2 linked regions of the Solanum lycopersicum genome follow. The protein of the gene in region 2 interacts with the protein of the main gene of each other region in a pairwise test. Links are inferred from orthologs where the notes say so. Each region holds a gene or a part of one and is shown on either strand. Other genes may lie near its edges. The genes, in order: guanine nucleotide exchange factor SPIKE 1 and protein SCAR2.

Evidence for each region.
Region 1: the proteins of protein SCAR2 (region 2) and guanine nucleotide exchange factor SPIKE 1 interact in binary tests that used the Arabidopsis thaliana proteins (3 or more experiments, as listed by UniProt). The link is inferred for Solanum lycopersicum from reciprocal best matches to the Arabidopsis thaliana genes SCAR2 and SPK1.

What each region holds. Positions count from the first base shown.
Region 1 is NC_090807.1:7,355,638-7,359,464, forward strand, and holds part of guanine nucleotide exchange factor SPIKE 1, read right to left. Parts: intron 429-3,827; coding exon 266-428; intron 1-265. UniProt on the Arabidopsis thaliana protein: Guanine nucleotide exchange factor (GEF) for Rho and Rac. GEF proteins activate small GTPases by exchanging bound GDP for free GTP. Controls actin polymerization via the two heteromeric complexes WAVE and actin-related protein (ARP) 2/3.
Region 2 is NC_090808.1:7,931,054-7,935,633, reverse strand, and holds the start of protein SCAR2, read right to left. Parts: upstream 3,026-4,580; 5' UTR 2,794-3,025; coding exon 2,639-2,793; intron 1,329-2,638; coding exon 1,165-1,328; intron 766-1,164; coding exon 642-765; intron 555-641; coding exon 425-554; intron 1-424.

The sequences.
Region 1 (3,827 bases), on a different chromosome or scaffold from region 2:
GATGAGTAGAAGAGCTTCAGAATTTATGGTATCGTCAGGTTCTTTAAGAGTGGATAAATGAAGAGCATTGAAGATGTCCTGCTGGAAAAAAGAGTTGCATAGACGCACATGAAATGTGAAACTTCTCCATTCAAATCGGCACCCTTTCACAAAATGTTCAACACAATCTACTCAGGGATACACAGAGACATATCAGAATATCAGTGACGCCTAACCCATAATTTTCACGTACACAGAGAAGAGGTGTCCTAGTAGGGTATCTCACCTGTTTCAATATCAGTATCAGGACCCTCATATATTTGACTCTGAAATGAAGTCGGGCTGACGCTTTCATAGTGACCATACTTGTTCTCATCTTTTACCCAGTCAGTTCTGTAGCATTGCACAAGTTCATTTAAATGTGGCCACTGCTCCAAATTTTCATCAAGCTGCAATTAAAAGGAAAGAATAATGAGAGCATGACAATAGGACAAAGGAATTTATCAAGTGGTGATTCAGAGTGAAATGGTTTACCAGACAGATAATTTTTGAATAAATTGTCAATATAATATTTAATATCAAAGTGGGTACAGACATTATCTGCCTACACATTCTATCAACAATCCAAAAGAATCATACATAAATTGCATGACACAGCTATAAAAAAAAAAGAATACTTGATCAAGTTAGTAGCATAAACTGTGAATTGTAAATTCTGCGTAGGGTTTATGAAGGATGGCTTTCAAGCACTTAATAAGGAATATGTACATGTGCTATGCTACCCAAGTTAAACTGAGATTTAGCACCAAAAATACAGTGAATGTAACCTTTTTCTGACATATGAAAGATCGAAAGGAAAATCCTACCATAACATGCATTTCCATACAAAATATATTTTTTTTGAGAAAGTTAACATTTTATAGACAGAATACACCAATATTGTATTTTAGTAGTAGTTACATCTGGAGTTTACAGTAAGCAAAACCAAAGAAATCTGCCACCTATCCCTCTTAAACTATCTAGAAACTGAGTAATATCCTCCACCTTTTTGCGGAGTACATAGTTACACCCAAAAAAAAAAAGTTATAAGACAATTCAACTTCAGACTTTGGAAAGGGATGCCCTTATTTTCAAAACATCTTTGGTTCCTTTCCCTCCATATTGTCCACCAGATGCAAACAGGGAGAATCTTCTCTCTCTTTGTGGCCGGACATATTTCCTTCTCTACTCCAGTACGTTAAAACTTCGGAGGTATGCCTTGGCATGGACCAACTGATACCCCTTAAGTTAAAAAACACCTTCCACCATTTTCTGTCACTCTACAATGGATGAAGAGATGGTTTATTGTCTCTATTTCTCTTTCATAGAAAAAACACCTGGAACATAATTGTCCTTCCTTTTTCATTAGATTGTCCTGAGTTAGTACTACTTGTCTGGCTACTAACCAGGTGAAACAAGCCACCTTGTGAGGTACTTTAACTTTCCATATCATCTTCCAAGGCCATGGTAAGAGCATTGCAGCTGGCCGCTGATTTTACTGTGAATTCCCGTTATTGGCCCTCAACCAGTATATAGATTATCTTCATTGGGTTGAAAGTTGATGGCCTGCTCTAGAGTATTGTAGAAATCTGTTAGGCTGTCAATCTCCCAATCATTAAACGTAAAACATTCTCCTGAAAGAGAGGTTCCATCTTTGGCTGTCCGGCTGTCCCTGACCTCTGCTACTGTTGCCTCCTTCTGTTGGTTCAAATTATAGATCACCGGGTACAACTGTTTTAAGGGATATTGACCAACCCACACATCATTCCAAAATGATGTCCTCCTTCCATTACCTATTATAATTCTTGAGTTTCCCCACATTTTAGGCCACTGATTCCTGATTGTTCTCCATAGACCTACCCCATAAGGGCTTCTAACTTGCTTAGTGATCCATAAGCCTTCCATTGTGTATCTGGAAACTATTGCATCTTCCACAAGCCTACCTTGTTCTCCTGAGAGAAACTTCCGTAGCCACTTCAATAAGAGACTTCGATTCTGTACTTTTGAGGTTCTTTATGCCCATTCCCCCTTCCTTTTTACTGTTGGTCAATTCTACTATGGAAAATTGACGATGATGTCACACATCATATTGGTGCGGGTGGATAAAATGGAGGCCCACATCAGGAGTCTTGTGTGATAGAATGTGCCACAAAAACTAAAAGGTAAGTTCTACAAAAAGATAGTTATACAAGCTATGTTATATGGGGCAGAGACTTGGCCTATCAAGAACTCTCATGTTCGGAAAGATGAATGTTGTGGAAATGAGGATGCAGAGATGGATATGTGGACATACTAGGAGACATAAGATTAAAAACAAAGATGTTCGGGACAGGGTGGGAGCAAACCCCATGATGGACCAAATGAGGGAAGTGAAGCTGAAATGGCTAGGGCATGTGAGAAGGAGATGTGCATATGCCCCAGTAACAGGTGTGAGGGGTTGACAATGGCAGATTTAAGGAGGGGTAGAGGGAGGCTGAAAAAGTATTTAGGAGAGGTGATTAGAGAGACCAGGATGTCATCTTCAGTTTATCGAGGACATCACATTAGCTATAGGATATGAAGGTTGTGAGAAATATTATTGAATTGTGTACCTACATTATTACACTAAGACACTACATGACACCTTCTCCAAGTAGGATACTATATACAAAGCATACTCTTATTTCTATTTTAACATCCCCCCTCAAGTGGGTGCATAGAAGTCATATCGACCGAGCTTGCTACAAATGTAATTAGCAGTGATGGACTTGCTGAAAATATCTACAGACAGATCACTCAACTTCACAAATTTTGCAATAATATCTCATAAGAGTATCTTTTCTTTGACAAAGTAACAGTTAATCTCAATGTGCTTAGTCATCTCATGAAATACCGAATTTGATGCAATGTGAAGGACCACTTGGTTATCACATACAAGTTCCATCTAGCCGGCTTTTTTACAGTTGAAAGAGTTGAGACGGGTAGTAGGATGACAAAAGAGGTACATGGCAAAAGAAGGACAAAGGTGTCAATTAAGAGTACACTTGCAAACATCCTTACATACTTCACTTTCATTGTTTCACAATTTGGTCAGCGTACTAGGTATTAAATTGGAACTGTATAAGAGGAATTTCCAATAACATTCAACAGATTTGGCTAGGAAGTTCCACTTAATCCGTCAAGAATAGATAAAGTCCCCAAAGAATTGAAATAACTGGTTAGGGAGAAAGACCTCTAACTTACAACAAGGCCGTATTAAGAAATGCTAATGGAGATTCAAGCTTCAAGATTGAAAAATATGTCAAGGAATTTTTAAGAAAAAGGTATGAAATTTGTGTCGGGTAGGCTGCCTACACAACACCCAATTGGGATGCGGCCCTTTCAAGGACCCTGTATGAACACACAAAAGCACTGGATCGCCCCCGCCCGCTTGCTAGTTTACCTTAGTATGACAATAAACACAAATGAAACTAAAACCTTGTTAGAAAAATTCTTAGATATAGTAGTCAAAATACACTTGTAGCCCTATTCACGACCATTCTATGAATTCAAATGTTCTGTTGCTTCCTTCCTTAAACAGTCTCTAGCACAAATATCTTATGTTTGAATTTTGAGTACTAAGTAGCATTTTCATCCCTATATTCCTTTTGTCTACACATCAGCTTTCTCTAGTATCCCCACCACTCTCAAAATATTGAGGACTCATTCTATCTCTTCTCAATGTGATTCATCTTTGAATTTATGACCCTACTCAAACATAGAGAAGACGAATATCGCGTAACTCCTTTGCTTGAAGAGTTCTCATTAATCTAAATTCTAAGCAACTATAT
Region 2 (4,580 bases):
AACTTTGCTCAACTAGCAAATAATAGATTCACTTCTCAGTAAAGGTGTCAAGTTAAAATTAAACATTTTAAGGGGCAAGATCAGTTTGCTCCTTTTTCCCTTACACTTTTCTGGATCAAGATGGAGATATGAGGGGATGGTTTCAGAAAGCTTCAAGATGGAGATAGACAGAGACTCAAGCACATAAGCACATGTTACCATATAAAGAAATAAATGTTCAAGTAATTGGAAGAAAGTATCAAGAACTTATCATAGTACCACTAATAACCTTCCCCAATTGTAGCCCGAAGAAAAAGGAAAAAATGTCATCTCAAATATGAAGCCATTAAAAAACCACTAAATCAACATGTCACTCATATAAATTCCAAAGTAAACCAAAAGGTAGCAGAGAAACAAGAGTAATAGTTTCTCTTCTTTTAATTACCTTTGTCTTGCGAGTTTTCTTTTCCCTCTGAACATCTGAAGTTGTGAATGCATAAGAGGATGTCTCGACTTTAAAGGATGAAGGGTCTGTATAACGTTTCAGACATGCTCCAGCTCCAGCAACATCAAACCTGTTACAATACCATTAAGTTTGACAAACGCTGTTCTAACAAAGTTTAACACTCTATGCAACTAAAGCTGTCAAAAACAGAGCATACTTGTCTAGCAGAAACAAGCGAGGTGGACCTCTGCATTCTTCATATGAATCCATCACAAATCGAGGTAAATCTCCCCTTGTAACCATATTTTGGTCGATTCGCAGATTAGGATGCCAATCAGTACCTGAAATAACATTTGTATTACGAACACTTTCACTAATAGGTTATTACGAACACTTTCACTAATAGGTTATATCGGAACTCAATAAATTGCTTAAATACTAATATCCATTTTTTTCAGATGCAGAAACACTAATATTCATACACACCACATTCTATGTTCAGGAAAATAAAAAACAAATATTCCTTTCTATGCTCTCTCTTCCTCTCTCTTTCTCTCTCTCTGCACACACACACATGCACCACAAACATGTATAAAACAGTTAGGAAGGACAGTTATCTTTTGGTACAGAATTAAGAAGAAGCAAGAAGAGTTTATCAAAGTGCGCGAAAAAAGCAAGTATACTAAGTTGTCCAGAATTTGTATGGTGTTATTGGCCAATGAAATACTCTTAGCACTTACCAGCATTATAGAAGAAAGAAGAGTGATCGGTCTGTGAGAGGAATGCGCTCTCAATCAAAGGAAAATCAGCTTCAAGCTGCTTGACCCTGACCGTTAGACTATGACCTCTTGCAGCAGTTGCCATCACTTCTTCATGCAAGTCATGGAATATCTCAGAAGCAAACCTTCAATTTTACAATAAAAAAGAAAACCAACATTTTAGTCGCTACCACAATTAAACAGAACAACTGTAGTACATTCTTTACAAAATAAAGTGATCAGGAATCACTTACAGGGAGAGTGTATAAGCAAAGAGACCCATATTTGGCACCACATTTTAATGATACTACCAAATTTTTATGCCTTACAATTAATTGATCAGCAACTCAATAGATTAAGCTCTACATACTCTGAACATTTTTTAACAAGCATACAACAACAACATACCCAGTTAAATGTACAAGTGAGGTTTGGGAAGGTTAAATCATAAACGTATGCAGACCATACCACTACCTCATGGAAGTAGAGAGGTCGTTTACAAAAGACCATTGGCTCAAATGCAACAAATCCAGATACAAAGAAGAAAGAGACAATGAAAAGAATATAGCAGGTAACAAGGAAACAATGCAAAGTCTACCAAAAAGGAGCCAAAAAAAACAATTAAGTAATGTGATAACCGAAACACAATAAATAACATACTAGGATAGATTGCAAACTACAATAAACAATGATAAAAATTTTTAAAAAAAACAAGAACTACAATAATATAACTAGTATCATGGCAAACATCAGTCATCCTAAGCAATACAACAGTAAACTCTACTCACCTTCAGCCCTAATAGATGTCCTCCACACCCTCCTTTCTAAGGTCATATCCTTGGTAACCTAAAGCTACAGCATATCTTGTCTTATCACATTTCCCAAATACTTCTTCCCTCTCTTCATACCCTCTATTTACACCTCTTCACTGGGGCATCTACACGTCTCCTCTTCGTAAGTCCAAACCATCTCAATTCCCTCATCTTCTAAGAAGCATAATCTAGATTAAAATAATAAAAAAAACAGGAACTCCGTATGAATTTACCCAGAACAGAACTACTTGTAAATGCTTAATCAAACAGCCGAAAAAAGCAACAAATAAAAAAAAGTAGTCACATTATACAAATGCAATAATTGTCAAAAAAAACAACAAAAAGAAAATCTACAATGCAATCAAATAACATTTCAAATAATGGACTCACAAATTCAACTTTCCATTTTCAATAACTACAAAGCATCTTCCAACTACCAAATTTCAACAGATTTCAATACTGATTATCTCAACTCGCATATTTAACTATATCGATCCAAAATTACGAAAATAAAGGTGGATTGAAACATAAAAATCCAGAAAGCATTCACTTGTAAAACGACAAAATTCTAAAATCAGCCAATTGAAAACGAAAAACGCATCAGATAAAATAAAAGCAAGAAAAACAAAAAAGGAGATACTGACTCGGCGAGGTCACCAAGCTGACGCAAAACACCAACAAGTCCAGCCATGGCAACGCCTTCAAGTAGAGCTTCTGGATCATCTTTATCAGCAGCTTTGTACAGTTCCGGATCAGCCAAACTGTACTCGTTCCGAATCTGATACCTATTCACAGGCATTTTCAACAAAATCTAAACCCTAATTCATCAAACGTTCTCTTCAGAATATCAACATTACATTTTTGCCATTGAATTCATGCACATGGAGTATCAATGGAGTCTCTGTAAAGCTGTATCTTCGTTGGTAATTGTAGCTATAGAGAGAGAAAGAGTTGAGGCGAATGTGAATGTACAGTTGAAAGAAGAGGTGAGGACTCAACAGAGAAGAGGGTCGGTTGACTATATTAAATACTCGTTTCTACTGCTCTTTTATCTTATATATTGTTCATTATTCAATTTGTATAACATATTTTTTAGATGGTTATAATATTGAAATATAAATATCGAGTAAATTAATTGATTTCAATTTTAAAATAACAAATAAAAATTTCTTAACTGATAAAGTAAGTTGATATACCTGTAATTTCATAATTATTGTTATATAAATATTTAATCTTAACAACTTATATCATCAATTAAATTACTGAAGTTGAAATTAAAGTAACTAATATTATTATAAAAATAATCAATTACCATTATTAGGAATCACAAATTTTAAACTTTTTAATTTATAATTATATATAAATATTTTATCTTAAATTTTTTAGTTTGAATCATTATTTAAATTGTTGAATAAAAGTGAATTTATACCACTATAGTTAAAATAATTTAGAGAAAATCAAAACAATCAATTATATTAAATTAAAGAAAATGTATTCTTTCAATACACATGTGATAGTGATAAACTGAAACTACACGTTAGCCAGTGGAGAAGCTTTTGCTTGAAAATTATACGATTTAGTTATATTAAAATTTTAATCATATATGAATATTATATATATTTAGTGGAGTATTATTTAAAATTTTATTTTCAACAAAAGTAAGAGATTTGGTTCGAATTCACCAAATCTGGTGCAAGCTATTAGATAAAAGCACAAACTTTACCTATAAAAATTACAATTTTCATGATAAAAATTACCTATGAACTTTTTTTTTGGTTACTGATTGTAGATGAAAGTTTCAACTACTATTCAGTTTAATTTTAATATATCTGGTTGGAGACTTAAAATGTTTGTTTCACTAATTATATTTTTTTAAATGGTGTTAATAATTTAATTCATATTTTATACTTGTGTGTATATTTTTAAATATAACCTGGGAATTTTCGGAAAGACTCAGACAAATAAAATACGGTGGACAAACGCGGCTGAGCTTGTCATGCCTTTCATTGTGGGCCTCCTTAATTCTATACTTCTTCTTCTGTCCGCTTTTAATTATTATGTCATATATTATAAAGTTAATTTATAATTTTTATAATTAATAAGATTAAATAAATTTATATTTTAAATAAAAATATATATATTCAGAAATTATATAAAAAATAATACAAATTATAATTTTTATATATATTAATATGACTTAAAAATATATTATAAAATATTAATAAAATGATTTATAAATTAACTCTTGAAAAAAAAACTATAACAATTATAAATACACGGTGAGACAGTGAGAGCACTTGTATTGGATCCTGCACCTATTCACATTGTATAATAATAATTTATTTATTTTGGTGTATATTTCGTAGCGTATGAATCCACCCAAATTTAAAGCCTCGTCTGAACCTTTTTTTTTCTTTTCCTTTTTTTACCAACAAAAAGTTATCGTAAAATTTCTATAAATTAATAATTTTTTAAAAGTGTAAATATATTTAAGATAATTTAGTGAAATATAATTTTATTTGTATTTTGTTATTTTCTAAAATTTAATACCAGTTGAAGTTTATCTCTAAATTTTCTTATTGCATC